Arabidopsis thaliana: one gene and its partners. The protein of the gene in region 2 purifies or fractionates together with the protein of the main gene of each other region. This does not show direct contact. Each region holds a gene or a part of one and is shown on either strand. Other genes may lie near its edges.

Region 1 (8,463 bases), on a different chromosome or scaffold from region 2:
GGAATTTATGTTTTTTGTGGACAATCTCCCATGTTATGAATTATGATTCTCTGGAGATTACGAGTCATTTGTTTTTTGGTCTTGCACGTTGTATGTTGAATCTGCTATTTCTTTTGGAGTATTAACTATAGGTAATGGTGTCGTGAAGGCAAAAGCAACAAATTTATTCTACGTATCAGTGCGAGTTTGCTCTTACAATTTTATTAAATGCGTTCAATTTTATTGATTAGCAAAGGCGATCTCTTGGAGCTAAAAATTTTTGCACTTAATTTATAAACAATGTGCAAAATTAAAACAAAATAATATCTATTAATAATATGTTATAGATACGTTAGATCATAAACTGTATGTACGAACACTAGCGGCGACACAACATACAAGTCACCCTTTTCTAGCATTCGACCAAAACCACTTATATTGAGATTTGAGAATGCGATGTCCCAAACCTCACAGACTCTCTGTTATGTGATGTTTTGAATAAAAGAGAGGTCAATGCTCTTTCACGCGGGAGAACATCATAATCGCAAGTGCCCTCAATTAATGTAGTGTATTCACCAACGAGCAAGGCAAACTACAAGAAGAAAAAAGGAAAAGAAAACTTGAGAAGTTCTTTGAAAACAAAACGTCCAAACAAAAGTGTAACTGAAAAATACAAATAGATATAAAGATTCATTACGTTAAAACATAAGTATTATTCCATAAAGCGGACTAAAAAAAGAGTCTTCATTGAAAAAAGAGGATTCAGAAAGGCGTCGACGAAATCTTTACTATCGATGATAGAGCGTCACAGCATCGACACGGATCGGAATCTGATGATAAATTTCGTCGAAAGCCTCGATAGTATTTCGAAGATGAGTTTAAGAGGAATGCTTGCTGTGGAGTTTTCGGCATGATCTAGGTTACGTGATGTACACGGTTGTGAATCTTCCATTGTGGATTGGTAGTGATAGCCCTACAAACATAAAAAGGGACCAATATATATAACACATGACACTTTTGTTTTTCCATAAATAAGTAAGGGAATTTCCGGTTGTGCCATATTTGTAAGCAAAAATGGAAAGATTCTAGACAGAATTCCGTAAATTCCTTTTGTGTCAACCAATTAGACTACAAAGTAGATGTAAGACTAGTTGAGACGATTGCAATTAACATGTAAGGATTACATGTCTTTGCGAAATAAAATCAACTAATCAAGAATAAAAGTACAATAGAGTTGTTGTTTACAAAGATCAAAACTATGTTAATTACAAGAAAACAATAAAAATATAAATAAAAGCCTAAAACATCATTTATTTAATCAACCAATAAAAATAATTTTGCATTGAAAATTTAAAACATCATTTATTTAAAAACCAAAATGAAAGCTTTAAACATCATTTATAAAAAGATTGGAAGGAGTATATTTTTATTTGGACAAAGAAGATAATGCTTATGGAATGTCTCTTACTTCAAATGCAAACCTCGGTAGTACCTGTAAGATACTTTTTTAAATAAGTGACTTGGCTGCTTCAACCATAGCTTCAATGGTGATACCAAACTCTTTATAAAGCTTTCCTGCTGGTGCACTTGCTCCAAACGTATCAATTCCAATCGATTTCCCTTTTCCTCCGACGATCTTTCCCCATCCAAAAGTCGATCCAGCTTCGATACTAACTCTAGCTGATACATCAGATGGCAAAACACTTTCCTTGTATGCATCTGATTGCTCGTCGAAAAGCTCCCAACATACAAAGGAAACAACTCTCACACTTTTGCCTTGTTCCCTTAACTTCTCTGCAGCTTGAGCAGCAATCTCTAGCTCTGATCCAGTTCCGATCAAGATCACATCGGGTTTGTTACCGGTTGAGTTGTCAGAAATGGTGTATCCACCTTTCTCGACGCTCTCAATAGATGTTCCTGGAAGTTGAGGCAGCTTTTGTCTAGATAAGGCTAAGACAGAAGGTGTCTTACGTTTTGTGACAGCGATTTTGTATGCACCGGCTGTTTCGTTCCCATCAGCTGGACGGAACATCATAATATTGGGCATGGCACGGAAACTGGATAAGTGTTCGATGGGTTGGTGGGTTGGTCCATCTTCTCCAAGACCAATGGAGTCATGGGTCATAACGTATATAACACCAGCTTCAGACAAAGCCGAGATTCTCATTGCAGCTCTCATATAGTCAGTAAACACAAAGAAAGTTGCGCAGTAAGGGATAAAACCGGGGCTGTGAAGGGCAATGCCGTTGCAGATAGCTCCCATACCATGTTCCCTGACACCAAATCTAAGGTTTCTTTCTTCAGGTGTGGCTTTTTGGAAGTTGCCGAATGCTTTAAGCATTGTCATGTTGGAAGATGCAAGGTCAGCACTCCCACCAAGAAAACCAGGCACAGCTTTCGCAAGTGCGTTAAGACATTGCTGAGACAGGTTTCTGGTGGCATCACCCGGAGAGTCTGGTGTATATGTCTAAATGAAAATTTTAAGTTGCCTAAAATAAGAGCCTTATATATGAAGAATACTGATAAAACGTTATAGATTACCAGAAAGTTCTACTTACAGGAAGTGCCTTCTCCCAACCAACGGGCAATTCACCTGAGATAATAGATTTCAACTCTGCAGCTTCCTCCGGATATTTCTTCTCATAAGCTGCAAATTTGGCATTCCAATCAGCTTCAAGAGCAGCCCCTTCGGGCGTGTGACGGCTCCAATGGCTAGAAAACATAAGAATTATAGTAAATTACCAAAGCAGGTTCTCATACCACAACCATAACCATAAATAGAAGTGCATAGTTAAGTTCTACTTACCTTTTGACATCCTCAGGTACATGGAACGGCTCATATGGCCACCCAAGATTGTTTCGGGTAGCCTCAACTTCCTTCTCACCAAGCGCAGCTCCATGGACACTGTATGAGTTTGCCTTGTTGGGAGAACCATAACCAATTGTAGTAGTGACCTAAACCATGCCACAAAACAATTAACACCAAAGGCCATGAGATCAAACGTTGCTTAATGAGTTCATGGCTAAAAAAAGTGTGCAGATACCTTAATCAAAGTGGGCTTGTCTGTTACAGCCTTAGCTTCCCTAATGGCAGCACGGATCTCATCATAACCATTGTTTCCATTCTTTACCCAGATAACATGCCATCCAAGAGCTTCAAAGCGTTTGTCCACGCTCTCGGTAAAAGCAATATCTGTGTCTCCATCAATGGAAATGTGATTGTCATCGTAGAAAGCGATTAGCTTTCCAAGTCCCCAGTGACCAGCTAGAGAGCAAACTTCATTTGAAATCCCTTCCATCTGACAACCATCTCCAAGAATCGAATACCTAATCCAAAGCAGTCAGTTTACAACATCACAATCCAAGAAAGATAACAATAAAAGTGCCGTTGAAGGAGTCAAAATCTTACGTGTAGTGGTCAACAATCTCATTGTCAGGTTTGTTAAATCTAGCAGCCAAATGCTTCTCCGCAAGAGCTAAACCAACAGCATTTGCAATACCTTGTCCAAGAGGACCTGCATGTTGGCAAATACAAGCAATGCTATATTACAAAAGATCAACATCAACTAAAACACACAAAAGAAGCAGAGAAAATCTAACTAACCAGTAGTGGCTTCAACACCAGGAGTCTCAAAATTCTCAGGATGTCCTGGAGTCTTACTTCCCCATTGACGGAAGCTCTTCAAATCTTCCTCCTAATAAAAAACTTCAACACTGCTTCAGCAAATCTTAAGTTGGTTCTACAATTCTAAATCTCAAGACTCCAAAAATCACCAAATGAGCAGGGAAACGGAACAATCTGTGTATTTACTATGTAATCTCAATAATGTAAACTAAAAGGATACAAACTTAATAAGCAGAGTAAGAGAACACAAACCCTAACGCTGTCGTAGCCAGCAAGGTGAAGCAGAGCGTATTGCAACATGCATCCATGTCCAGCAGAGAGAACGAAACGATCACGGTTAAACCAGTAAGGATTCTTGGGGTTATACTTCATGACTTCATCGTACAAAATGTGAGACATCGGAGCACAGCCCATAGGAAGACCTGGATGACCTGATTTCGCCTTCTCAACCGCATCTATTGCCAGAAACCTGATCGTGTTCACCGACTTATCAACCAGGGACGAATCAGAACTTGTCACGATTGCCTCTACGGCGGCTGCACGAACCAGAGGGCGGAGAGAGTGACTGATCGTGGAGGCGTTTCGTCGACGGGAAGAGATGGTGCCACTGGTGCGTGGAGAAGTGGATTTGAGAGCAGAGAAAGCTGGTATAGAGACGCAGTTTTCAGAGCCATTGTGAGAGATGGCTCGTGTAAGGAGAGCTTGTGAGAGCGCTAGAGAAGAAGTAGAAGCCATTGATGCTCTCTCTGGTTAACTGAGAGAGAGAAAATAGAAGAGAAAGCTTCTCTGCAAACCTATTTTAGGAGACTGTTGCTATTAATAAACCAATGAGATCTCGATCTGACCGTTGGATTCAGAAAGGACACAATCTTGACGGCTGTGATGCTCTATGGCTTTAACAATTTTTCGAATCTAATTCTTTTGTTTAATTTTCAACTAATCATTGCTTTTTACGCTAATTATTAAAATAATAATTTAATTTAAGTAAAAAATAGATTGACAATGCGGCATGGTTGGTGTGTTAAGCAAAAGCCATGGTTATGACAAGGGTTGGTGAAGAACCTAATTACTTTAGATTTTTTTTTTTTTTGGGGGCAAAATTGCTTTAGATTTAGGAAATACATTTTAGTCACCAATTCACCAACTCCGGTATTGACCCAGTCGGTGACGGCGTAGCTGACGAAACCTTTTTTTCTCTCAACATCCCACGTTGCATAGCACGTGTCTTTATTTTGCTCATTTTTTCTTGTTATGTTTGCAATTAGTGGGCCTTCTTATGACCTTCTTTTGTACCGAATATTTGCCCATTTGGGCTTTATGAAACAATTGGGCCGAAAAAAACTCATGCAGTTTAATGGAATCAAGAACTGAACCAAAACTAAACCGGAGAAAGCTTACTCATGTCCTTGTGACTGTGTCGTGGTGTGTCATTACATCATCTTGACTCGCTTGCTACTCGAGGATGAGTTTCTTAGACCTCTACTGGTTACAGTGTATGAAGCCGAAGCTGAAGGAAGTGAAGGGGACTTATCGATATATGCGTAACGCTCATCACCATTCCAATACAGAATGACTCGGTTGGTGCACGAATGAGACCAGCTATCGCCTGAAAACAGCACAAGTTGACCATTTAAGTATCATAACAAATGAATGATGATGATGATAATAGCAAACTGAGATGGTAGATTTGAGTTTGGCTCACCTAAAGCAAGCGCTAGTTGAAACGAGCCTTCACTAAACTTTGTGGTCACCTGGTTTAGTAACACGACCTGAGATTGGATCATAAGAGTTGATTAGGAACCTCCACTTAAGCTAGTCAAGGATTGTATTGTGAATTAGATCATTTCTTCTTACCGCAAGTGAGAACTTTTTGGCAAGCTTCATGAACTTTAAAGCCATTTCGCTGAGCACTCGTGTCCTCTGGGCTAAGTCATCATAGTCCTGACGGAAATGAAAGGTGATACTGTCTACGATTACAACTTTAACCTGCAACCATGAAAGATTAAAGAGAGTCTTAGTGAGCCGCCGAATTATGTCACAATATACACTTGTAGCAGCAAATCAACGGGATGGAACTTCAAAATTATTATACCTACATCTTTGTTTTCAGAGATGAACTTTTCAAGATGATTGACCAATGCGATTTGCTCGGTGTAACTGCAGACACGGAAGTAGAATATGTTCTCTAAGATATCTTCTGGTTTCATTTGTACTTGATTTGCTTGAAAATGTTTATGCATGTATCCTGTGTATTCTTCCATGTCCTCTACACAAGCTTCTGCTATCTGTAAAGCACGCTCCACCATGAAGCTACCTTCTGTATCTGTAGCATACAAAAAGCATTAACAACCAAGTAAGTGATCAACCAAGGCATTAGTCATCACTACTAAAAGAAACATACCGATATATATAGCTTTCCCTCCAAGACCACCACACTCACGTGGAATCTGAACATTCACAGAGAGCTGGATCCTGAAACCAGATCGAAGTTAACAGAAGAGGAAACACTCTGATGATGATGAGAAAGTAGAGGAAAGCAGTGAAGCGGATTTACCCAATCTGAGTCTTGCCAATCCCTGGTACCCCACCTTTGAGAAAATAAGCAAACCACTAAATCACTTAATGATCTCAAATTGGACCAGAGAAAGAATGATAATGGAGATGACATACCAATCTCTGTAACATCCCTACAGCTAATTCCACCGCCCAAAATGTTATCAAGATCAGAGCAAGATGTAGTAATACGCGGCAAAGACTCCTCCTCGTGAAGCATATCCCAAGCGTTCTTTGCTCCTTTGTTTAGTCACAAAATTTCATAAAGAGAATCCTTGAGTGAACCATTTAAGAAGGAGAAAAACCACCAACATAGCTCCAAGGAGGAGTTCATCAAGTTACCATTTATGAGTGAACGGCTTCCATTGCAACAACTTTGATTAGCCAGCTTCAAAATCTCAAATGCTTCCTCCTCTGTGATATTTGCATCTACTCACACACCAACGATATCAAAGATGACTCAAAACACACACACACACATATATAGAATTATTCCAGAAATAAGCCTTAAACAAGAGACTAAATAGAACCCTAATTATCAACCCAAGGACTAATCAATTGAGGTGTACTGTCTGTGCTAATCAGAGAAAAACGAGCAACAGATTCTAATCTTCTAAGATTAGGGTAAAGCAGAAATTTACCTCGAGCGAGATCAGAAGAAGAGACGGAAGCAATCGAAGACAGACAAGTATAACCGGCCGATATCAGTTTTCCTCTAATCGAAGGCGATAACGGTAACCTCCATGCCTCCATGACTGAAGTCGCGAGTGAAGTTTCTTCAATCGCCGGCGATTTACGCCGCCCAAATGAAATCATTGTTGGCGCCACATATATAACGATGAAAGTCTTTTAACTCCCTATCGTTGAATCAATATTTAAAAACTATTGGATTAAAAATCGTATAATTCTCAGTAGTCTAGTGGTTCAACGACATCTAAATTTTACTAATGTCGTGAGTTCGATCCATATTTGCAACTTTTTTTACGTTTTTTTAATTTTTTTCCCTTTTTTTTTCGTCGAACAACTTTTCATTTAAAGCCCAAAATGGGCAAAGATACAAATGGATTTGAGACCAACAACCTTAAAACAATGAAGCCTGCCATTTTTCTTCAAATCCATTTGAAAACTCCTTAGCAGAACAGACTCTGTGACAATCGATTGGTCTTCTCCACATCTTCTTGACCGGAAATCCATCTCTGACCGCCTCGAAGCTACAGAACACTCCGCTCCACAACCGATTTATCGATAAAAGACGTCCCATGACTTTCCATGGACGAGCAAAGGCATCATTACTCCCTGCCTGAGAAGATTAGAGCATATGTTGAAGCTGAAAGAATTCCTCACGGCCACTGAATCTTTAGAGAAAAATTGATCTCTGCAAGCTTCTTTTTTTCTCCTCAATGTTGGCGCCATTTAATGTTGGAACTAGGAATAAACTAAAAAGTATAATGAACCAGACACGGTTTAGGTTAACCGGGACCAATGATTGAACGAAATTAAATTAACCGGAAAAGCGTTTGTTCCTCAGTGAAAAGAATACAAGGATTTGGATATCTGGTTTTAAGTTACAGGAGACAATCTTCTTGCTACGTTTGTGTTTGTTGTTGAAGAGAATCTGCTCTAATGATTGAAGTAAGTGACGGATGGATCCGTGCAGTTCTCATAGAACGAGCTTCGCTTCTTCCTTTCGCATACTCCTCGCCAAGAGGCCACCTCGGTCGAAGATCATACTAAATTCATAACCAACAAAACATCAATCTCCAAGTTATCAGTTTTTCAAACAATAGAATCTTTACAAGTACCGAGTTTTGTTAAGAAAAAGTACCACATAATCCTCAGGTTCAGTTGCAGGTGGAGGTGGATCATATCTTCCTACACGAAAATGCTCGAGACCAGTCCAAGCCACCATTACTCCTGGTGAGACTAATGAATACTTGTTAGTTTCTATTCTCTGTGTCTCTAATTTGATCAGTAGGAGAATTTCAAACTCTATTTACCATTGTCTGTGCAGAGGCTAGGAGGAGGGCAAACAAGTTTCAGGTTTTTGTTTTCGACAATGTTATTAAGTCGGAGTCGTACATACTTGTTTGAAGCAACACCACCAGAGATTACCTGAAGCTTAGTCAATATTAGTCTAGAAGCATTTGTCAAGCAAAACAGAGGTTTCTTTTTCTTGTTCTAAACCTCACCATATGTTTAATAGAAGGCTCTAGTTCTAATGCCCAGTCTATTGCTCGCTCACATTTTTCTTCCAGATGCAAGACAGCTACTCGCTGGTTCATACAAACTGAAAATGTTTAGAAATC
Region 2 (9,860 bases):
GGCTTCGGCATGGGTAGAAGCTCATGGCAAGTGCACTGTGTCTTTTGCACTTTCATGGTCATCGCCAAAAGTGAAATTTTCAAAGGGAAGCACATATGACAGGTAAATAAAGTACAACCTTTGTAGCCTCTTCCCAACAAGTTAAGTTGGTTCTTTGATAATCGTTATCACCAACTTATTTTCATATGATCAATGTTGTCTTAAAGTTGGCTACTTGTTCTGTCCATTGCATCAGTTTTCTGTGTTGTTTGTAGTTTACATCTTTTCTCAGTAATGCTGGATCTGCTTCTAAGTCCAGAATCTTGAAGACGCTCTCAGTTATGTGTTTTATATATTTTTAAAGAGAAGAATAACTCTGAGAGAGAAAGATAGTTCTAGGCAAGCTAAAGATAAAGCATAGTGCCTGGCACTAGTTGTACACATAGAAAATGCTCAAGCAAACGTAGGTTAATACTTCAGCATTAAATAGAGGGAAGCATAAATTTTCCCTTTTGGGTGTCATTTGTTTAACAAAGCTTAAACCCATGGCCGAATTGAGTGTATGGAATACATGCTTTGAGAAGCTACCAATATATTAATGTGTATACGCTGTTGATTTTCTGTCTTTGGTTATACACTGTTGATTTCTGGGTTCTGTTTTCTGTCTTTTTCCGTCTTTGGTTTGCAGGAGATACACTAAATTTTATGGTACTTCGCCAAGAGCAGCGTTGGACCTTGTGCATGATGCACTGACAAGTATGTATTTGTGGTGCTGATGTTCATGTGTCATATGCTTCACTTAAGTTGCCACCCTGTATGGATGTATACCTGATAATGTTGTTAACTGAAATTGTTCCATGTTACACATACACACAATTTGTCTTCCGTTTTACGTGGAATAGTGCTTATGCATTATTGACCAGCATCGGTTTTCAACTTCAGATTATAAGAGGTGGGAGGAAGATATTGAAGCATGGCAGAATCCCATTCTCAGAGATGAAAGGCTCCCTGAGTGGTAATTGCTTTGGAACCTAATAGATCTTTGAATACTTTGCTCTCTCACCGTTCTGCCCTGAACTATTTTGTATTTTTGTAGGTACAAGTTCACTCTGTTCAATGAGCTTTACTTTTTGGTTGCCGGTGGTACAGTTTGGATAGGTACACATCTATACGCTTCTTCAAAGTCAAACTCTTGATTGTAAAATTGTGTTCTTCGCTTTTAACAAAATTTTGTTGTTTCATTATTTTGGTGCCTTGAAATTATTGTATCACCTTATCAACGGTTTTTGGTTGCAGACTCTTCTTCACTCAATGCTAATGGGAATAGTCAGCATCAACAATCGGGATTAGGAAATTCAGATGGTAAGGTCGGTGGACTTGACATTAATGATCAACGGAATGACCTTGGTAATGGCAACAGCGTTGGAGTAAAAAGCAATGATGAAGTATCAGCCATTCATAACCGGAATGGTTTATTTGTCGATACTCCCCATGTAGATGATGGCGATGATGTTGGTCGGTTTCTGTATTTGGAAGGTGTGGAGTATGTGATGTGGTGCACATATGATGTACACTTTTACGCATCATATGCGCTCCTTATGCTATTCCCAAAGATCGAACTAAACATCCAGCGTGATTTTGCGAAAGCCGTGTTGTCTGAAGATGGTAGGAAGGTTAAGTTCCTGGCAGAAGGAAATGTGGGAATTCGCAAGGTCAGAGGTGCTGTTCCTCACGATCTGGGGATGCATGATCCTTGGAATGAAATGAATGCCTACAACATACATGACACAAGCAGGTGGAAGGATCTGAACCCAAAGTTTGTGCTTCAGGTGTATAGAGATTTTGCAGCTACAGGGGATTACCAATTTGGAATAGACGTGTGGCCCGCAGTTCGTGCTGCTATGGAGTACATGGAACAGTTTGATAGAGACAATGACGATCTAATAGAGAATGATGGTTTCCCAGATCAGACATATGATACATGGACTGTTCATGGCGTGAGTGCCTACTGCGGTTGCCTGTGGCTGGCTGCTCTTCAAGCTGCAGCAGCAATGGCTCTCCAAATTGGTGACAAATTCTTTGCAGAACTTTGTAAAAATAAGTTTTTGAATGCAAAGGCAGCACTGGAAACGAAACTCTGGAATGGATCATACTTCAATTACGACAGTGGGTCAAGCAGCAACAGCAAATCTATACAGACCGATCAGCTGGCGGGTCAATGGTATGCCGCGTCTTCAGGTCTGCCTCCATTATTTGAGGAATCCAAAATCAGAAGCACTATGCAAAAGATCTTTGATTTCAATGTGATGAAGACAAAAGGAGGTAAAATGGGTGCTGTAAATGGGATGCATCCGGATGGGAAAGTGGATGACACGTGCATGCAGTCTCGTGAGATATGGACAGGTGTTACTTATGCAGCTGCGGCTACTATGATCCTCTCTGGAATGGAAGAACAAGGTTTCACCACTGCTGAGGGAATTTTCACAGCTGGCTGGTCAGAAGAAGGTTTCGGGTAAGTTTTCTTTCTTCTTTATATCCAGTCTGTTAATTGTTTCGATATCACACACACATAGATATACTCGAGCATGATGATGATGTATCTTTGTTGAACCGAATAACAGATATTGGTTCCAGACACCGGAAGGTTGGACAATGGATGGGCATTACCGGTCACTGATATACATGAGACCGCTCGCGATATGGGGAATGCAATGGGCATTATCGTTGCCAAAGGCAATTCTGGACGCTCCACAGATCAACATGATGGACAGAGTACACTTATCCCCTAGAAGCCGAAGATTCTCGAACAACTTCAAAGTTGTGAAACACAAGGCAAAGTGTTTTGGTAATTCAGCATTAAGCTGTTCTTGCTAAATCATTCGGTCTTGTTATATATAAGATACAAGTAAATTCACATCTCTGATATGATTATCGGAGTAACATATATAAAAAAGAGGAAATGTTATTTAAGGAGAGGAACTAGCCGACATAGTTCCTGAGTTGTAATAATATTAATAGAGAGGAGTATGTGGGAAAAGTTTCCATAAAAAGATGATGGAAACGTAAATGTTGTTCAACATTTTGGTGTGGAGGTGACTTGACTCTTGTTTTGTTTAGATAATAAATAATAATCTGAGAAGAACAATTTGTGTTCTTCTTTTCTTCTGTTGGTTTTGAATTATTGGCTAAAAGAAAAGCCACGTAAGAGCATATAATGACAACGCCTACGTACGCTTTTTAGCGTTCAATTTAGACCTTAAGTTTTGAAAGATTCCATGTCTTCGTTTTAAAAGTCGCTTTCAATTGTTTGAGCATATGTTTCGTAGGGAGCACTAAGTTGGTATACATAAAGGTATTGATCAATCTAAAAAACTCAATGGTTTAATTATATTAATGACTTTAGCCTAAAAAAACTTAAGTCAGTGTAAAACAATATCGATGTGTGATTAAGAAGAGATCCAATTTAACATTACCCACACAATCATTTGATTATTTCCTCCTCTCCGTATCTGTGTCTCTCTTCTCTTGATCTTTTAGTGTTCTTGCTTTGTCGCTTCAACGCTTAAGGTAACACTGCTTCTTCTTTGATATTCGCGATTCATCGAACGATTTCATCATTATAGACAAACATCCTATCGATCGGGTTTGTTTTTGCTGATTCGAGATTCACTGTTTGTTAGTTTCATTTCGTTATTTTGCTTCATGTGGTGTTGATTGATTATTCGATTTTCTTTTTTGGCAGTTTGGATTTGTGTGAGTCTGCATAATCATGGCGAGGAAGATGCTTGTTGATGGTGAGATTGATAAGGTGGCGGCTGATGAAGCCAACGCGACGCACTATGATTTTGATTTGTTTGTCATCGGTGCCGGGAGTGGCGGTGTTCGTGCTGCTAGGTTTTCGGCTAATCATGGCGCTAAGGTCTGAATTATTTTTGAGGATAGTGATGATCTCTAGACATTAGTGTATGTCTGGTTTTGGTATTAATGTGTTGTTGTTGTTTGTTCTGAATCAATTGTTGTAGGTTGGTATTTGTGAGCTTCCATTTCACCCTATTAGCTCTGAGGAGATTGGAGGCGTTGGTGGAACGTAAGTTCCTTGTTGATGCATTATCAAACGTTGGAATCTTACACGATCTTATACCTTTATTTGTTTCCACTTTTTTTGGCTTTCAGCTGTGTTATCCGTGGTTGTGTTCCTAAAAAGATTCTCGTCTATGGAGCTACTTACGGTGGTGAACTTGAGGTATGAACCATGTTTTTTAATCATCATTTCAATGTCTTTCTTTAAGCTGTAAAAGCAAACTTCTTAATAGTCATTTTCCCTAGCAATATTTGCAAAATTGTATTCATGTTCCTAAATTATTGTTTAGGCTATATGTCTATGAACAATTCATGTCAACTGAGAGAGAATTGTGTTTGATGATGTATACTGTTGTTTAACTGCTGGCAGGATGCTAAAAATTATGGGTGGGAAATAAATGAGAAAGTCGACTTCACATGGAAGAAGCTTTTGCAAAAGAAGGTATGCAGGAATTGCTATAATGCTTACGTATTCTTATTTTTCAGTAATTGAGTGAAATATTTCTTGATACACTTGCACCAGTTGCTCGAAGTTATCCCAATGAAATCAGCTTATTGTAAAACGATTAGCGTTGTAGCTTTCTCCTTGACACTGTAATATCTTCCTTTGATCTTTAAGTTGTGAAGAAATTATGGTTGAAACTATTTCAAGAAAGTGACCTTTAGGTTAATATTTTTGGATGTTTTGGTTGTAATAGCAGTATAGTGTCTTGGATTTCTCACAATGAGAAACTACTAAAACTCTGGGATGTATAAGCATTGATATTTTTCCGCAACCTACTGAAGATACTTATATTATTGTTTTGTCAAGTATGAAAGTTAGATGGTGGGGAATGGTTTTTTGCTGCTATAGTTTTTTCTAGTGTGCTCAGTAGATTGGATATTTTTGCGATGTAACTAATTCGGTCATAAATAATCAATTACTGTCTTTAATTCCTTCTGTGCAGACTGATGAGATACTAAGACTGAATAATATCTACAAGCGGTTATTGGCAAATGCTGCGGTGAAATTGTATGAAGGTGAAGGAAGAGTAGTTGGTCCCAACGAAGTGGAGGTGAGACAAATAGATGGCACAAAAATAAGTTATACCGCAAAGCACATATTGATTGCCACTGGCAGTCGGGCGCAAAAGCCTAATATTCCTGGACATGTAAGTTTCTGTGTTCATGTTATTTTTTTTATCTACTATAGTGTGATGTGCTTGGTATTTATGAAATCATTATCTTCAGAGTAAGTCCGGAAAGATTTTAATAGAAATAACAGACACATCTGTATGTTTGCAATATGATTTCTCTAAATTAGTCTGTGAGAAAAACTATTAACTGCTATTTATGGAAAGTCCACTGAGTTATACATAAACTGTCTTTTATAGGAGCTGGCTATTACATCTGATGAAGCTTTGAGCTTGGAAGAATTTCCCAAGCGTGCTATAGTGCTTGGAGGAGGGTAATGTCTTCCTCAATGTTTTCCTCCTGCTGTACCTAACATGCCAGCTGTTTCAATGGTTTAATCCTCGTTTCTATTTACGTTTTAATTAGGTATATTGCTGTGGAGTTTGCATCAATATGGCGTGGAATGGGTGCTACTGTAGATTTATTCTTCAGGAAGGAACTTCCGCTAAGGTGCTGGTTCTCTGTCAAATTATGTTGAATAACTGAAAGTCCATCTCTTTGTTTTAGCTTCTTTTCTTTCTAAAACTCTACTTTTCAGGGGTTTTGATGACGAAATGAGGGCACTAGTTGCTAGAAATCTTGAAGGAAGGGGCGTTAATCTGCATCCACAAACAAGTTTGACTCAGGTATCTGAATATGATTATTACTTTTCATGTCTCATTACTATATACGTTCTTTTCACTTGTTTCATGAGTTCATAGTACTTTACTGAACATACACTATCTTTCCATTTAGTTGACAAAAACAGACCAGGGGATCAAAGTCATATCGTCCCATGGGGAGGAATTCGTGGCAGATGTCGTCCTATTTGCTACTGGTAAATTTTCTGTTACGTGATTCTCAAATTTCGTTTGTTTATAATAGAGTACTTTTATCTCTGTTCTCTTCTACTCTAATACATGTTCCTCTGCGTGGATTTTTGGGTTTACGGAACAGTAGGTTTCTTCATTCTGTTTTTCGATAGTTGTATGTTTGTGCGGGTTTTGCTTCCTCCCTTGAACTTAATTTTTGAGGAATCTACTTATTATTGAAATGGAGCATGATTGGTATTTTGGTGTTAAAATTCCTGAATTATTGTAGACCAGGAAGCTCTGTAGCTTTACCTCCAGCTGTCTAAGGATGTATCTTTTGTTTATATTTGATACAGGCAGAAGTCCTAATACCAAAAGATTGAATTTAGAAGCTGTTGGTGTTGAACTTGATCAGGCTGGAGCTGTGAAGGTTTTAACAATTTCCTAAATTTGCAGATACTAAAATTTATCCTGAATAAAGTTTTCCGTGACTTTCTGGGGAAACATTCTCCTCTTGCAGCTACTAATTCAGTACATTATCCTCAGGTTGACGAGTATTCACGAACTAATATACCTAGCATATGGGCTGTAGGAGATGCCACAAACCGAATTAACCTTACACCTGTTGCGTTAATGGAGGCCACCTGTTTTGCGGTCTGTGCCTCTTATCTTGCACATATAATTTACACAAACCTTTCGAGGAGTTGTACCTACCACCAACTATTTCAGCTTTTGTGTTTGGGAATGTCTACTTATGTATTCCATTTGTGGATTGTTTTGATGCTTGCAGAACACTGCTTTTGGTGGAAAGCCTACTAAAGCAGAATACAGCAATGTCGCCTGTGCTGTATTTTGGTAAGTATTCTTTCTGATAGGATGAAAGTTTGCTTTATTTGTGTGTCATATTGCAGGCACTAGTTACCTCAAACTATGTGTATTGTGTCCCGGAACAATTCTCCACAAACTATGTGATCTTTAAAATGTGAATATCAAACTCTGAAAATATCTGAAAGTACTCCACAAACATTTCTCCTATATTGGCATATGTTTTTACTGTATAGCCCCAATATTATCATAATTATAGAGTTACTCCACAAACATATCTGCTACTCTGGAAATATCAGTATTCTCATAGTTATATAGATATTACATTTTCTAAATATTTTTTATTTTTATTTTTGTTTCCTTATGTCTTCCAGCATACCACCACTAGCTGTAGTGGGTCTCAGCGAAGAAGAAGCAGTAGAACAAGCAACCGGTGATATTCTGGTCTTCACCTCAGGCTTTAATCCAATGAAGAACACCATTTCTGGGTATGCAAGCATTGAAAGTTCTTTTCTTTTTTTTTTTGTCTAAAGCATTGAAAGTTCTAAGTTTTAGAAAATCCTTAGAAAAGTTCTTGATTTTCTTCAATATGCTTGCACCTGATCACTCTTTGAACTAATCACTAAATTATTTTGGTTATAGACGCCAGGAAAAGACATTGATGAAGCTAATAGTTGATGAGAAGAGTGATAAGGTTATTGGAGCATCCATGTGCGGTCCTGATGCAGCTGAGATCATGCAGGCAAGTTTTCCTTTATAGTAGCTTCTACCATTTATTTTACTTCCCTTTAGCTGCTCTACTGAGTGGTGCATAGGTGTCAAGAACAAAAATCATTTACAGGGTAGCTGAAAGATTTGGGTTGATTAAAGACGATTGCATGTCTGAATTTTTCTTCTAACCATATAGAACCTGATTTGAGTTTGAGAAGTATTTAGTATTGTAAATGGATTAGAGTTTGATCCGAAGCGTGTCTTGATTTTAAGTGATTATATTGTATGGCTTAATGCAGGGGATTGCAATTGCGCTCAAGTGTGGAGCAACCAAAGCACAATTTGATAGCACGGTAAGTCATACGTCTTCCAAGCACTTGGGTTTCACTTTCACCAGTTTGATGTTTGCTCTAACTAAAGATAATTAATATTGTGAACAAAACACAGGTTGGGATACATCCATCTTCTGCAGAGGAATTTGTGACAATGCGCAGTGTGACCAGACGCATTGCCCACAAACCCAAACCTAAGACAAATCTATGAACCGCAAAATATAAAGAGCTATATAGCATGAAAACTCGGTACACTTAATTTGATCAAAGAGTCAGACAACGATGAGTTTAATCATACTCGTGTCCCAATAAAGGATTTGTAATTTTTGTTTGTTTGTATGATGCTTCTCTTCTTACTTACTTGAGAAAACATCAAGGTTTCTTCTCTTATTGCTTAGTGGAACTTTATTACAAAGAATTATTCTATGAACCCCTCTTGGTCATATCATTTACTTCAGTTCTGTACTCGCATATGGTCTACTAAGTAATAACTAGAACCAAATCGAACTATATTGAATCAAACTGAACTAATAGAGGTCGATGGTGACATTTGTAAATGAGCAGCCTAATGATGCTGTCTTATGCAAAACAAAGCTCCTGGAGAAGTTGCAATAATATATTCAGATTCATGATCAAAAGCTCTTACAGAGACAGAAGATACACATCAAGTGTCCAAAGTGGTCTTTTATTATTAGGACTGAGACTCAAAATGTATGTAAGAAAGAAAATAATTATAAGTCGAGAATGCAACCAATATGGCAATATACACATAACACATCAACTGCTCTGACCACCAAAAGTTTCATCCTTCTCTTTAAACATTCAAATGACACCGGTTTCAAAGGCGGCCAGTTGAGAAACACGGCTTGATACACACAAAAATATGTAAACGAACGACCTGTAGAGAAAATCAGTGTCCTTTTGCCGTTTTGAAGCTCTGTTTCATTTCTTAGTCGAGCTTTACATTTGAATATAGAAGAGTATCCTTCGTCAAAGGCATGTTCATAAGGAAGTATACCTGCAACCAACATGACAAGTACGTCAACTTCGAGTGACTTAATACATTCAGTTTTCAAACTACGATTGAGTTCTTCAATAGGCCACTTTAGGTGGAAACATTCAACTTTACATTGGCCAAAGAATCTGCTTGGTAGTAGACTAGTAGTAATGAGATCTTACCCCAAGGATAGTTGCAATGAGAAGAATGATTCCAGTCAACCATGCAAGAGTCAGCCTAACAAGTATAACCTCAGCGATAATGGCTGCACTTGGAATTCCCTCCACTTCCACCATTGAGCGTGCAGATGAACGGGAAGACCCAAAGTTCAAAAGATTTTCTGATTCTTGGTTTACTCTCTCATCAAGGACGATAACCCCAACAATTTGGCCTACAAGAGCCAATACATCTCTCAGCTTACATAAATTCAGTTAAGAAAAAAGACAAATGTTCCAGAGAATGAGTTCCCCATCTTGAACTACTTTCTAACACATATCTTTGAAAACGAGTTTATTAAATCAGAGAGACAATTCACCTTTATGAGATGTCTCCAACAGATTGAATAGCTTTGATAATGTGGAAAGTAATACATCCATCCCTTGCTTAGCCATACCTTGTCCATACTCCTGTGCTAAAGCCTATAATTTCCAGAAAGAATAAATTATATTAGAGACATTGACAACCTTTGCAAACAAATATAAGCTAAGTACAATAACATGATGGTTGAACAATTAGACATTTTCAATGAAAAATAAACTCAAGATATAAACTCATTACAAGGTCCTTATCAGCCTTGCAATCCTTGGATACAATAAGTGTAAAGATAGCTTAGACGACTACAACCAGCTCAAAACATTTCCAGTTCCCTGAGATCTTATCATAATTCACTTTCGAATCCTCTGCTATTCCTTAAATAGCTAAGCAGGAGTATCCCGAAAAGAGTGCACAACCAACAGCCATTATTACGATCAA
Region 3 (5,303 bases), about 14 Mb from region 2:
ACATGAATAGATTTTACCACAATAATTGCATGAGCAACTATTATCATCATCTTTCAACCTCGTAAAGACTTTCCATGCTGTTGATCTTGTAGGTAGTTTTCTTTTTGCCTTTGGCGACACTGTTGGAGACTCGGGTTCTTTTCTTTTATTGCTAGTCGTGTTTCTTTTAGACATCTACAAACAAAACATGTATAAAATTGTTAGTCAATTGAAAGAATACAATTACGTTTCTATTAAAACATCTTTCATTATTAGTAAACTAAATAAACATGTATGATCTGTTTTCTTGCACGAAAATCCATTGATTATTGGTATGAATGCTAAAATATATTATATATATTGTAAACAAACAAAATCACCCAACCTACATGAAACCTATTCTTAAAAATTAAAAAATCTAAGTAAATAGAAGAAACAAGACAACGCAAACACAGATTTTTCTTTTCCATGACTTTGCGGTGTACGTACAGATTGAAAAAATCATCATATACTCATAATATTTAACTAAAATTGAGATGAGCGTAATTGTATTGCTAGAGAGTAGTTAAAAATCATACCGTGGCTGTAGAGAGTAGAGAGAGACGACGGAAGAACAAATGAAACGAAGTTAGAAGTAAACCTTAGGTTTTTACTTTTTAGGGTTAGAGTTTTAGTTAGAGATAAATAAATATTTAGAGTTATTTGTAATATTATTTATAGAATTAATTAATTAAGTATATAAAGACATTGGGTTGTCGGTTCGGTTTGGTTCAAAACCGAACCGAACCGACCCATTTGGGTTGAGATAAAATACAACCGAATTGTTTGAGTCTTAGATTGGGTTTGGTTTGGATCGGTTTGAGTTCGGTTGAGTCGGGTCGGTTCGGTTCGGTTCGGTTAAAATGCCCAGGCCTAAGATTTTGCTCTTATATAAGAGACAAAATACACTCTTAAAAAAAAAAAACTCTTATCAAAACTCTTAACTTCAAAATAAATTATAAAATTATTGTTAAGAACATTTGCTAAAAGCCCACCAATGTGGATGCTCTTATATCTTCATCATTGTTTTCTTTGTTTGCATGGCGTTTACTTTAGATATGCTACTTACTACTCATAAATTCTTTCCGGTCAAACGAAGCCAATGGCTTTTCCCATGTCCTCTCATAACAGCTTTCAGTTCGGGATCAGTCTCTGCATTGTACAACTCATATCCGGTAAAAGTCCATGGACTCACTATTCTCAAGCTGAGACGAATTCAAGAATTACAATTTTTTCTCGAAACCCTTCTCCAACTCTGTACACTCAACGTCATTACTCTCTTCCTATACACAGGCGAAACAGAGTCCTATGTAACCACACAAAACAGAGTTTAAATCAAATTAAGCAATATAACCCACGAATCAAGTGAGACAGCAAAATGAGATAAAATATCTGCAATCTAGAAATTCAGGAGATTGATAGATCAAACTACTTAAACATTGCTAATCCACAACCACAAACTAATGTAATAATGATTGTTTTGATTCAGTTTTTGGAAGCTTTAACTAATCCATCTTTTCGTGTTCTTCCTCATCATCTTCTGCTAGTATCACCAACCCTGAACTATGAAGTCTTCCTTTGTCCTGTCTCCTTCGTATACTACAACGTTTCCGCTCGCTGACCTGAACTATGTCGTCAAGGCTCTCGGCGACAACAAGCTTCACTGGTTCGTTGTTCTCAGCTGGAATAGGTTGAGAATTTTTGTGGACAGCAGCTTTTCCATCCTAGAGAAAACATTTTCTTTGGTTAGGTTATATTGATTTCATATATACTTCTTTTACATAAAGCTTGTGTGAATGTGTGAAAAAGAGAATGAAACCTGGAAGTCCTTGACCCATGATTCAATCTGGTCAACCTCAACCTCGACCATATTCATCACCATTGATGAAATCAATATCATAAGTATTGACATCTTTATCACCATTGTTATAGTTCTCCTCATCTCTGCAAAAACTCTCTAAACGAAAACAGAGTAAGAAGATAGTTGACGAACACACTGCTTTTGTACTTTGTATTAGAAAACAAGCTTAAATTAGGGAAGCTGCGGCAAAACCCTTAAATTAAGAACCACTAAGCAATAGAGGGTTTAGCTCTAATCAGTTTCAAATATAACATCCTTCAAAACCAGTAAAGGATTCATTGTTTACTAAACCCAAATCTAGCATTCAACAAAATCCAGTAAAAGACTCCTCTTTAATCCATTCCAAACCCACAAAAGACAAATCTAACACTGAACAAAGACCAATGTAGTTTTCACCTTAAATCAGTTAAAGAGCCTACCATTCTGACGAAATCAATAAACCACAAATTTGGAGACTAGTCATTTAGATAAAACTGATACTCTTCTACATATACAGATACATATAGTATCAAAGTCTTCATGCAAAGCCATTTTTCTAGAGGTAGCATTGTGTCTTTCACTCTTACGCTATCTAGTATCTACAGCCTGTATGCCGTTCCCATTCACTTGGTGACTGCTTCCTTGACCCACATGAACCACACTTGCACTCAATTCTGAAACAATAGTTCAAAGATTAATGTGTTGGTCAAATCTCTAAAACAACAAGACAATGATAACAGAAACCTAGGATTAAACACGGATTTTTTATCGTTTTCAGAGAAAAAATCAATTTACGATATTGTGCTGCATAGTCATAATTCATAAACAAATAAGATCCTTTCTAAATGAAGAAATTGAAATAAGGCTGAGACATCTAATACGTACGCATGAAATGCTCTGATATATGTTCCTTCCATGCCATTACAGACTACATTAATCTCATCAGGCAGCTCAGTCTGTGTCGCCTTTTCTGTAGACCAATCCCAAAGAGGTTGTGAGGAAATCTCGCATATTATAGCAATGGAGAAATGCAAACAATAAAATCAGGAGAACATGAGAAGTTAACAATATACTTGAACACTGAGTTCTGTTCTTCTAATATTGATAAGCTCATGCTGGACTTTACAGTTAGGGCAATAGTAACTGTTGTGCTCCAGTTCCTTAAGATGATAACCAAATTAGTGTGATAGTTCAACAAGCGTGTTCATTACTTAGAATCAAAAGTTAAGATGCATGAAGGTGTACCTTAAAGCGCTTATATAAATTATTGTCGCACCCATACGGCCATACATCACACTCATCACAATAAACCTAATACATCAAATCAAGTCAGCTAAATAGATGTAATCATTTCTTACAGGTCTGTATTTCACCAAACATGGTCACATATATTCTCACCCAATCTCCATCATTTGAAGGGCTGCCATACTCTCTTGCAAATGCCACAATACTGATTGGATTTCCGCAACTGAAACAACAAATTTGGATTCAATTCCTTTTGGCAAGAGAATTATTTGTAATTGTGTTTTCTAGATAAAGATGGTTGATGATGCAAAGTTATATACCTTCGTTTTCTCGCAATCTTGTGTGAACAGCAACTGCATGGGGTGCGATAACTGCTTTAGGTTGGGAAATATCTGGCTGTCCGGTCCAAGACTTGAGGTTGAGAATACCTATTATAGAGGTTTCATGTGAAATTTGTATGAGACAAAGGAGAATGATTCAAAGAGGAGAAGTAAAGGAACATAACAGTAATGAAGATTTGAAGTTACCTGAGGATGAAGATTCTTTATGGTGTTTGAGGTCAAATATGGCTCCACAAGCTGCACTTGCGTTTTTCTGCAACTTATGAGATCCAATCAGATTGTAGTCCCAGCTTCCATCTTTGTAGCCTTCACTAAGGAAGAGTTCAATGTGCCTAGCATCAAGAGTTTGCATTGTTCCTACATAGTAAAACAGAAACACTCTTAGTTGCAATTTAGTTATTGCAAGAGATCAATACAAAAGTTTCAGCAACAGATTAGAGTTGATTAGTGTCTTTTACCTCACAGGTACTGAGGTCACAAACAGGTCGCACAAGCTGTAAATCTGGAAAATGAGATAAGCCATATGTTACAGTTTTTCCTGCAGTTGACAAAGTTTCTGAAGATCATGAATAAGACATTTTTGTAACATCCGTTCTATGGTTCCTTCCTTTGGGACTTTCAGGCGACCACTCAAACTCTCAGTCAGGAGTGAAGTTCGAGAATCAAGCACAAAGGCACCAATCGGCATCCAATCTATAATTACAGTGTAAAAAAAACAGATAAAGATGAGGCTGTGATCAGCAAATGAAGTACTTCAAAGTCAAAGATCTGTACAATACATCTATATTTAACACGACTTTTTGACAATTGACAATTTTTTTCCATTTAGAGTACCCAAAAAACATGACACGTATTGCGCCAGGGACGCAATGTTTCAAGACCCCATCAGGCGCTTGTACCACAGCCGGCCCAGACAAGATCGCCGACTGTAAATTCCTCTGGTTTGTACACGCCCTTACGCGAGGCGTCGGACTTTTTCGGCATACCAAAGTTAGCATCCCAGTAATCGCAATCTACTTCGCTGCTGTCTTCGTTATCCTTACGTGGAAACAGCTTCGGGTCTTTGCTTCGATGCAATTTCGAGCTTCCCCAGATACATGTCTCCGTCGACTCTTCCTTGCGACTCTTCAAGGATTTCCATGTACCAACAATGGAGTCCCTGAACCTTGAAGGAACCGCTCGAACTCTGCCACGCGAAGACTTGGACTGGTCAGAGCACACTTGTTGAGATTCTTCTCTACTGGTCAAGGAGCTTGAGCTACTTGTTAGAACTCCGGGTTCTCTGCTACATGGTTGATCAACGCTTGCTCGTTGTCTCTTCTTATACACCATAATCTCACCCTTTTGGCTACCATACTCAATTTCTAAATCAATTTTGCACCGCTTCAGATTCAGATTATCGAATGTCGTCAAAATCCGTTTCAAAATCATGTCCTATCTCAGCTATTATCGCGTAGTCAACATAAACGACTATTCAAATTCCGATTCCAAACCCCTAATTTCATTAAACAAAACAGATTCGCACTTCGGACCTCCGGGAAACAAAAACTCGCAACGTTTCAATTCCTTTAGCAAATTGGCTCAATAGACAACAAACCCAATGCGAAACCGCTTCTTCAACCCTAAATTCGAAAACGAAAACCAAATTCTCGTTCTCTCAGAGGATAGAATTAAGAAATCAAACGACAGAGAAATCGTAAAACTCTAACACGCAGGAGAAACAAACCAAATCCTCCTCGTAAATTCCTTGGAGAAATTATCAGTGCTTTCACTACGGAGAAGATAAAACCTTAAAATCGACGGCGAAGGAAGACAAAAGAGGAGGAGAAAGATATTGTGTTCTGATGAGGGAAGACTGT
Region 4 (6,751 bases), on a different chromosome or scaffold from region 2:
TCAAAAAATCTTTTAATAATTTCCATATGATTCTTGAACCGAGTCCATTTACAGAAAAATGCATTTGCTCTCTAGGTATAACTGTAACTGTAATAAAGTAAAATCTTGGGTGACAAAAATATAACATCGTAAGAAAGAGAAGGTACCAATAGCTGCATGACTCCCACTTATATTGCAATCAGATGTCCAAATGGTACACTCAGAGGAAACATTCCCTTGGAGGCTTCGCGGAGTAAGTATGTTCACTTCCTCAGCAACATTTAAGATAAAAATCGACCCACGGCCAGTTGATCCCAATGTAGTTATTCTGTTTTCTCATGTCAAGGTTTTACAAATGGGAAATCAAGACCGAGAGTAAAAGATAAGACACATTTAAAGGATACAATGCCCGGTTTACGGGGTGGGAGTTTTCAGATGCATCAGATCTTCCGATTAACTCAATAGAAGATATAGAAGATAAGGCGACCAGACAAGGTTGCGTAGGTCTCAATATATGCTCAGGTGCTTCCCTCTCTTCTGTATCGTTTTCTTTGCAAGGAAGAACAGAAACTGGATCACACTCGATTACACCATCGTATACTTGTCTATCTTTGGAAACTCTTAGAATGCTGCAAAAAAAAACTTCCAAAGCATATAAGTTGGCCTGCAAATAATTTAAACAGCTCTACTAACTCTTCAATAAATGGAAATACATAAAGTTTCATAGTCCAGTTTTGAACATCCATAAAAACCAATAATTCCAAGAAGCTGACTAATACATACCTCAAGCAACCACCAGCACTGCCTGCTACTAGGATGTTCTTTCTGGTCAAGCCTACAGGTGTTTGTACATCAACCTGAAACTGTTTCAAAGCGGTATCGCCAATGTCTTCTGTGGATCCGTATCTCCATACCTAAACATAAGAAATGTTTCATATCTGTCTTCTGTACTCTTAAATAAGAAACAAAAAGGTTAAGTTATTCTAGGTGGTAATTACCACAGGATAAGAAGCTTGTGTCTTTTGAATCTCGTCCCTGAAGTTAGACATCTTCTTGTTGACAGAAATAACATTGCCATTTAACTCTCGGGAATAAACTAGCTTCAATGCTTTTAGTTTAGTCCTCTTCTGATAATTAGTTTCCTGATGCAATTTCCATATAACTAATCACTGATTTACATAAACAAGTTCAAGCTAGAGAAGATTGGAGAATTCTCATTGATTCTGCAAGACTCGACCTTTACTACATAAACTTGAAAAAGTTGAATTTGTAGTAAACTGACCTGTTCAGGCTTTGGCTCGGGTTTTTGTTTCGTTCTTGAAGAAGAAGAAGACTTTGCACCAGGGATAGGACCTTTAATGGGAAAATATCTGTTCTTCTCCTCGTCGTAATAAAACCCAGGAAGTTCTGAAAAAAAAAAAAATCAAAGATAAACCAAATTCCCACATCAAAATCTCGGATACGCAATCGAAAATAGAAGAATCCGTCGAGGAAGAAGATTCAGACCTGGTTTCATGTTGTGTCGGACTTGGAGTCGACTCTGTTCTCTGTGTTCTTTCTCATCAGACACCATTAAAGGCTAACATGCGCCATATAAATAGCTTTAGGTTTTAAGAATTGAACCGGAAACGTGTTTTTATTCAATTATGGTTTAAAATGGACCGGTTTATGATCCGGTTTACAATAGTGAAAAACAGAAAACTAAAACGTATATCCTTTTTGTTCACAACAAACAACTTCAACATTATTTAAAGGGACTCTCCACAAAGCTTTTTAGTTCTTGTGCTGTAATCTCCCACTCTCAGCACCAGCAAAAGGATCAATAATAACATTTACCACCGCGGGTTTTCTTGCGGCGAACGACTCAGCGAGAGCGGATTTAAGCTCATCGGGTGTTTCCACAATATAACCTTTGCCTCCAAAGGCTTCAATGAGCTTGTGGTAGCCTGCATTAGGAACAAATGATGTTGGTGCTGGATCTTCTTTATGAGGACCGGAGATTTCTTCAGGTCCCCTTCGATCACCGCCGTAGACACCACCATTGTTGAAGACTATAATCACCACAGCAAGATTGTATCGAACCAATGTCTGCAATCATCATTAAAGACAAAAGTTCAGACAAAAGACAATTTCCACATTATGCTAATAAGTATGTAAATCTTTTTACTACCTCGACTTCCATGGCGCTGAAGCCAAAACCAGAGTCTCCTTCAACAGCGACAACAAGCCGATCAGGAGAAGCAACAGCAGCAGCAATACAATAACCTAAACCAACACCCATAGTTCCCCAAGTTCCTGCATCAAGCCTTGTCCTTGGCTCTTTCTGAACCAAAACAGATCTTCCTACATCCATTGTATTAGCTCCTTCCGATACCACAACAGGACTCGGTCCTTCCACAGCCAAAATAGCGTCTCTGATTATCCTCATAGGAGTCAAGAAATTGAAAGGAACCACATCTTTAGCAAGCTGTATCTCCATCTTCTCACCATTCTCTTTCGCCTTCTTCGAAATCGATTCCACCCATGAATTAGACTTCCCTAAACAAAAAGGATCGTCTTTGATCTCTCTATTCAACAATCCAATCACAGTTTTAGCATCTCCAACAATCCCCAAATGAGGTTTCCTTAGCTCAATCTCTTCCTCAGAGACATCCACCAATATAAATTTTACATCTTTATCCCATTTAGGCGACTCTCCGAAATGAAGAAGCCAGTTAAGCCTAGCTCCAACCACCAACGCGACATCACATTTCCCAATAGCAAGAGACCTCGCCGCAGTCGCCGAGAACTCGTGTGTGTCCGGTAACAAACCTTTACCCATCGGAGTTGGTAAAAAGGGTATTCCAGTAATTTCAACAAGCTTCTTCAGCTCATCTTCTGCTCTCGAATACGCAGCTCCTTTACCAAACACAATCAACGGCCTCTCAGCTTTCCTCAGCAACGAAACCGCCGATTCAATCTCCGATCTCAGAGATCCACGAATCGGTTCTTCCTTCCGTGATCTCTCAACCTCATCCACCAATTTATCAGCTTCCGATTCCGATATCTTCTGACGCAACACATCAGTCGGAATATCCAGATAACACCCACCGGGTCGACCCGAAACAGCTCGATCCAAAACCCTAGAAACACAATCAGGGATTTCACGAACATCTTTCGCTTTCTCTGATAATTTCGAGAAAGCTTTAACCGCTTCGATCTGATCAAGCTCCTGGAAATCTCCACGACCAACATCTCTCTGATCACAAGAACCAGAGATCATCACCATCGGCCATGTATTAACCCAAGCGTTGGAAAGACCCGCGAGCCCATGAACACAACCCGGACCCGAAACCGTTAAAAGGATACCCGGTTTACCCGTGAGGTAACCGTAAGCTGAAGCGGCGTAACCAGCGGATTGTTCGTTGTGGAAGGCGATGAAACGTATACCTAAAGCCATAGCTCGGCTAGCTAGAGACGTGACGGGGATTCCAACGACGCCGAACATGTGGGTTACGCCGAGATGAGAGAGTGACTTGGCCACGAGAACGTTGCCATCAATTGACGGTGGAGTGGTTTCTGATTTATCCGCCATGTTCTCTTGGATTTGCTCAAAGTTTCAGTTTCTTCTACTTGCTTTAGTTTCTTTATATAGCCTTTTGTATTTGTGTTTTACTCTTACTGTGATTACGTGTTTTGCATTAATGCTACTATTAGCCTATTATTGACTTCTTTATTTGCATTTTGTGTGTTCTCTGAAAATTTTATCTACAAACTTGTACACGTAATTATGTGTGTTTTGCTAATTTAAAAGTTATCTACGTAGCAAATAGTAAAATTCTCAACAAATTGATTATACGACCAAACTATACATGAATTTCTTTATTTTTGGCAACTTACATTATTCAATAACAAAGTAGTATGACAGATAACTTAATTTACAAAGGTATTGTGATTTAGTGATTCAATAAAATATATCTTTGGTTTTGGTCACTAGCGACTCCTACTTACCTAATCTTCTCAATAATTTGGATTTGGATGTGATAAAATGATAAATTTATGAGTTCATGGTTTGGAACAAGTGACCTTGTATAACCCTTGAGGGCTGCCACTAGAATTGTTTTGTAGTTAGCAAAGAAAACAAATCAAATTTGGATTTGTTCTTTTACACAAAGTGGATGATTTTGACCACGACAAAACTAGAGCACCACTCAAAGATTTCTCATGATTTTGCGAGTCTACAAAATAAATTTTTTTTTCTCCAACGGTAGTGAATTCCACAATCGATTGAGCTAACAATTTATCAAATAAACTTGGACTCGTTTAATTTAATGAAGAAAACAGAAGAGCTTGACAAAAAGAAAAAAACAACAACGTGTGGAACCATTAACAATCAAACATCTTTAATGGCACGCACGTCCTCTCTCAAAAAATTTCCTCACGTATACATACGCTCAAAACATTCAAGAACCAATGCTAAGGTTCCCATTTGAGTTCTTTTTGTAAACAAAAACATGGCGAGATCGCTCAAGAAATCAGCCAAGTTGAGTCTAAGAAGAGTCCGGATCAATTCACCTTCGATTAGGTTCAAACCGGACTCGAGTTCCATAGAGAGAGACCAAAGAATCGAGTTTCTAGGCGAAAATGGTGATGATGCCGGATCCGGAGAAGAAGACACCAAAGAAGCAAACAATGAAAGTGAAGAGGTTGAAGATAAGGAAGAAGAAAGAGTCAAAGTAATTGTAGAGGAGGAAGAAGAAAAAGAACAAGATGATGCCAAGAGCTTTAACATTGGAGGCGGAGAAGGAAAAAAAGAGGCGGTGGCAGCGGTTGAGGCGGTTGAGGAGGAGGCGGAAGGCGGGAATAGAGTAATGGTGGTGGTTGATAAAGCGCTTGCTTCTACCGGAGCTTTAGAATGGGCTATTACGCATACTTTACAACCACAAGACACTCTTTTTCTGTTATACTTTGCAAAACCGTTTAGAAAAAGTTCTTCTCTTTCTCTCCTCTTTGTCAATTTTCTTGTTTAAGGTTTGTTTGGTTTGGCTAATGAGGTTTTTCGGATTGAGTTTTAGGTAAAAGGAAGAACCGAAAACGCGAGGTGAAAACCGATGAATTGGTCCATACTTTAAAGAAACTGTGCCAAACGAAACGACCCGGGGTGAGTCACACTTGGTATTCGATTGTTTATACATATAATGAAAGCTACACTATTACTGTTCTGATCAAATTCTGGCGACGTGTGGATTTCTTTTATGAATGTCAGATAGAAGTGGAGATAAGGAGGTTAGAGGGGAAAGACAAAGACAAAGGGCAGAAGATAGTTGAAGAATCAAAGAAACAACAAGTGAGCCTTTTAGTGGTTGGACAAGAGAAGAAACCTCCGGTCTGGAGGCTATTGAAGAGATGGGCGTGGAAGAGACGCCGTGGACACGAAGGTGTTCTCAAATACTGCCTCGAAAACGCCTCTTGCATGACAATCGCGGTTAAACCCAAGAACCGCAAGCTCGGCGGTTACTTAATCACCACCAAACGCCACAAAAACTTCTGGCTTCTCGCTTGACAACAACGCAAGTTTTCCTCTTTTGTGTTTGTATCATTCATAAGGCTTTAAAATTTTTTCACCTATTTCATCTTTTATACATGAAACAAACTTGCTCCAGTACACAAAAATCAAATAGGCCTTTCTTGGATTATTGATATAACAATGTTACTGCACAAGAACTATGAACAATTTTCCCTATCTTCTGCTGGTTCAATCGGTTAATGATTCCGAGATTCTGTTAATTAACACAATACATTGGAAAGCAAGTGAGACTTCTTGGTGTTTACTAACCTTCTCTTTTTGAGCTCAGCTTTCATTGTCATCGTTTCGGGTTTGGTCCAAAACTACTGAACCCAATGCTTATAAGCAATCTGGTGAAGCTGATCATATCCCGCAAGCACTCCTGCTCCTGCTACTCCAAGAAGCATGTTCGCAGTAACTCCTCTATATAGCGCATAGAACCCTTCCGACTTCAATATCTCTCTTAAGGCATGAATGGTGTTCCGGTATTTAACAGGTTGTCCTGATGTAAGCATCATTCTCCTCCTAAGTGTGTCAAAAGGGTAAGCAATGACGCCTGCAGAGGTAGTAATACTCCAACCCAATAGAAAACTAGCCAAGAAGTTTCCCTGTCACGGAATCAAAGAACCATTTTTAGCTATTTTCTGCTATAGATTAAGAAATAATAACGGCATACATAGATGACATTACCTCTAAGGAACCGACTAACACAATGGGTTTGATGGTGTCGTACATCCCAAAATACATTCCTCGGTAAAGAGTGATTCCCACTATTGACACACCAAATCCACGGTAAAGACCTTTAATACCGTCACTTGACAAAGTTTTACGATACACATCGATCATCCCTTTAAACTGTCTCTTGCCATTAACAGAACATTCCTTTGCATCAGTGCCTAAACGGGTCCGCGCATAATCCAAATGGTACAGAAACAAGGAAGTTGTTGCTCCAGCAGCACTTCCCGAAGCTACATTTCCAGCAAACCACTTCAAGTAACCATCTTTCTCTTTCGAACATCCAAGAAGGTTCTTGAAGTAACCTTTAAATGCAAAGTTGGAAGCCTAAAAGCAATTAAATTTAGTGACAATAAGAATCTAACACAAACCTCAGCACGCTGATCTAAAGTAAGGGTTCTTGGAATGTAGTACCTGTGTAGGGAAATATCGTATGACATTGGCTTGGTTTCCTCTCCAAAAGGACAAAACACCTTCTTCTCTATAGATTCT

Evidence for each region.
Region 1: the proteins of GR1 (region 2) and AT2G45290 fractionate together in Arabidopsis thaliana (co-fractionation; one large-scale study listed by BioGRID). This does not show direct contact.
Region 3: the proteins of GR1 (region 2) and AT3G62510 fractionate together in Arabidopsis thaliana (co-fractionation; one large-scale study listed by BioGRID). This does not show direct contact.
Region 4: the proteins of GR1 (region 2) and AT5G17380 fractionate together in Arabidopsis thaliana (co-fractionation; one large-scale study listed by BioGRID). This does not show direct contact.

Annotation. Positions count from the first base shown.
Region 1 is NC_003071.7:18,668,613-18,677,075, reverse strand, and holds AT2G45290 (Transketolase), read right to left. Parts: upstream 4,580-8,463; 5' UTR 4,340-4,579; coding exon 3,857-4,339; intron 3,675-3,856; coding exon 3,584-3,674; intron 3,495-3,583; coding exon 3,389-3,494; intron 3,307-3,388; coding exon 3,024-3,306; intron 2,935-3,023; coding exon 2,786-2,934; intron 2,692-2,785; coding exon 2,538-2,691; intron 2,447-2,537; coding exon 1,487-2,446; 3' UTR 625-1,486; downstream 1-624. Other genes in the region: RAD51C (RAS associated with diabetes protein 51C), read right to left, coding at 5,035-5,210, 5,307-5,373, 5,459-5,590, 5,701-5,927, 6,006-6,076, 6,159-6,192, 6,275-6,397, 6,500-6,586 and 1 more; GCP1 (glycoprotease 1), read right to left, coding at 7,744-7,887, 7,983-8,071, 8,155-8,269, 8,347-8,430.
Region 2 is NC_003074.8:8,728,004-8,737,863, reverse strand, and holds GR1 (glutathione-disulfide reductase), read left to right. Parts: upstream 1-3,239; 5' UTR 3,240-3,546; exon of another isoform or gene 3,547-3,622; intron 3,623-3,721; 5' UTR 3,722-3,748; coding exon 3,749-3,898; intron 3,899-4,001; coding exon 4,002-4,066; intron 4,067-4,152; coding exon 4,153-4,222; intron 4,223-4,429; coding exon 4,430-4,501; intron 4,502-5,006; coding exon 5,007-5,210; intron 5,211-5,432; coding exon 5,433-5,506; intron 5,507-5,598; coding exon 5,599-5,682; intron 5,683-5,770; coding exon 5,771-5,858; intron 5,859-5,967; coding exon 5,968-6,049; intron 6,050-6,379; coding exon 6,380-6,453; intron 6,454-6,569; coding exon 6,570-6,677; intron 6,678-6,813; coding exon 6,814-6,878; intron 6,879-7,222; coding exon 7,223-7,336; intron 7,337-7,490; coding exon 7,491-7,590; intron 7,591-7,858; coding exon 7,859-7,912; intron 7,913-8,006; coding exon 8,007-8,102; 3' UTR 8,103-8,510; downstream 8,511-9,860. Other genes in the region: AT3G24180 (Beta-glucosidase, GBA2 type family protein), read left to right, coding at 1-102, 668-735, 922-994, 1,076-1,137, 1,276-2,491, 2,601-2,853; PMP (putative type 1 membrane protein), read right to left, coding at 8,841-8,909, 9,071-9,279, 9,424-9,526.
Region 3 is NC_003074.8:23,119,995-23,125,297, reverse strand, and holds AT3G62510 (disulfide isomerase-like protein), read right to left. Parts: upstream 2,468-5,303; 5' UTR 2,446-2,467; exon of another isoform or gene 2,110-2,445; intron 1,963-2,109; 5' UTR 1,961-1,962; coding exon 1,838-1,960; intron 1,743-1,837; coding exon 1,524-1,742; 3' UTR 1,507-1,523; downstream 1-1,506. Other genes in the region: AT3G62500 (F-box protein RMF), read right to left, coding at 2,810-2,828, 2,932-3,018, 3,104-3,169, 3,257-3,326, 3,424-3,531, 3,631-3,801, 3,914-3,946, 4,021-4,137 and 1 more; AT3G62499 (YTH family protein), read right to left, coding at 5,149-5,303.
Region 4 is NC_003076.8:5,723,168-5,729,918, forward strand, and holds AT5G17380 (Thiamine pyrophosphate dependent pyruvate decarboxylase family protein), read right to left. Parts: upstream 3,746-6,751; 5' UTR 3,554-3,745; coding exon 2,150-3,553; intron 2,068-2,149; coding exon 1,753-2,067; 3' UTR 1,592-1,752; downstream 1-1,591. Other genes in the region: AT5G17370 (Transducin/WD40 repeat-like superfamily protein), read right to left, coding at 147-307, 384-608, 763-893, 978-1,121, 1,262-1,386, 1,486-1,552; AT5G17390 (Adenine nucleotide alpha hydrolases-like superfamily protein), read left to right, coding at 4,473-4,947, 5,034-5,119, 5,225-5,521; ER-ANT1 (endoplasmic reticulum-adenine nucleotide transporter 1), read right to left, coding at 5,848-6,132, 6,215-6,586, 6,674-6,751. UniProt on the Arabidopsis thaliana protein: Catalyzes a carbon-carbon cleavage reaction; cleaves a 2-hydroxy-3-methylacyl-CoA into formyl-CoA and a 2-methyl-branched fatty aldehyde.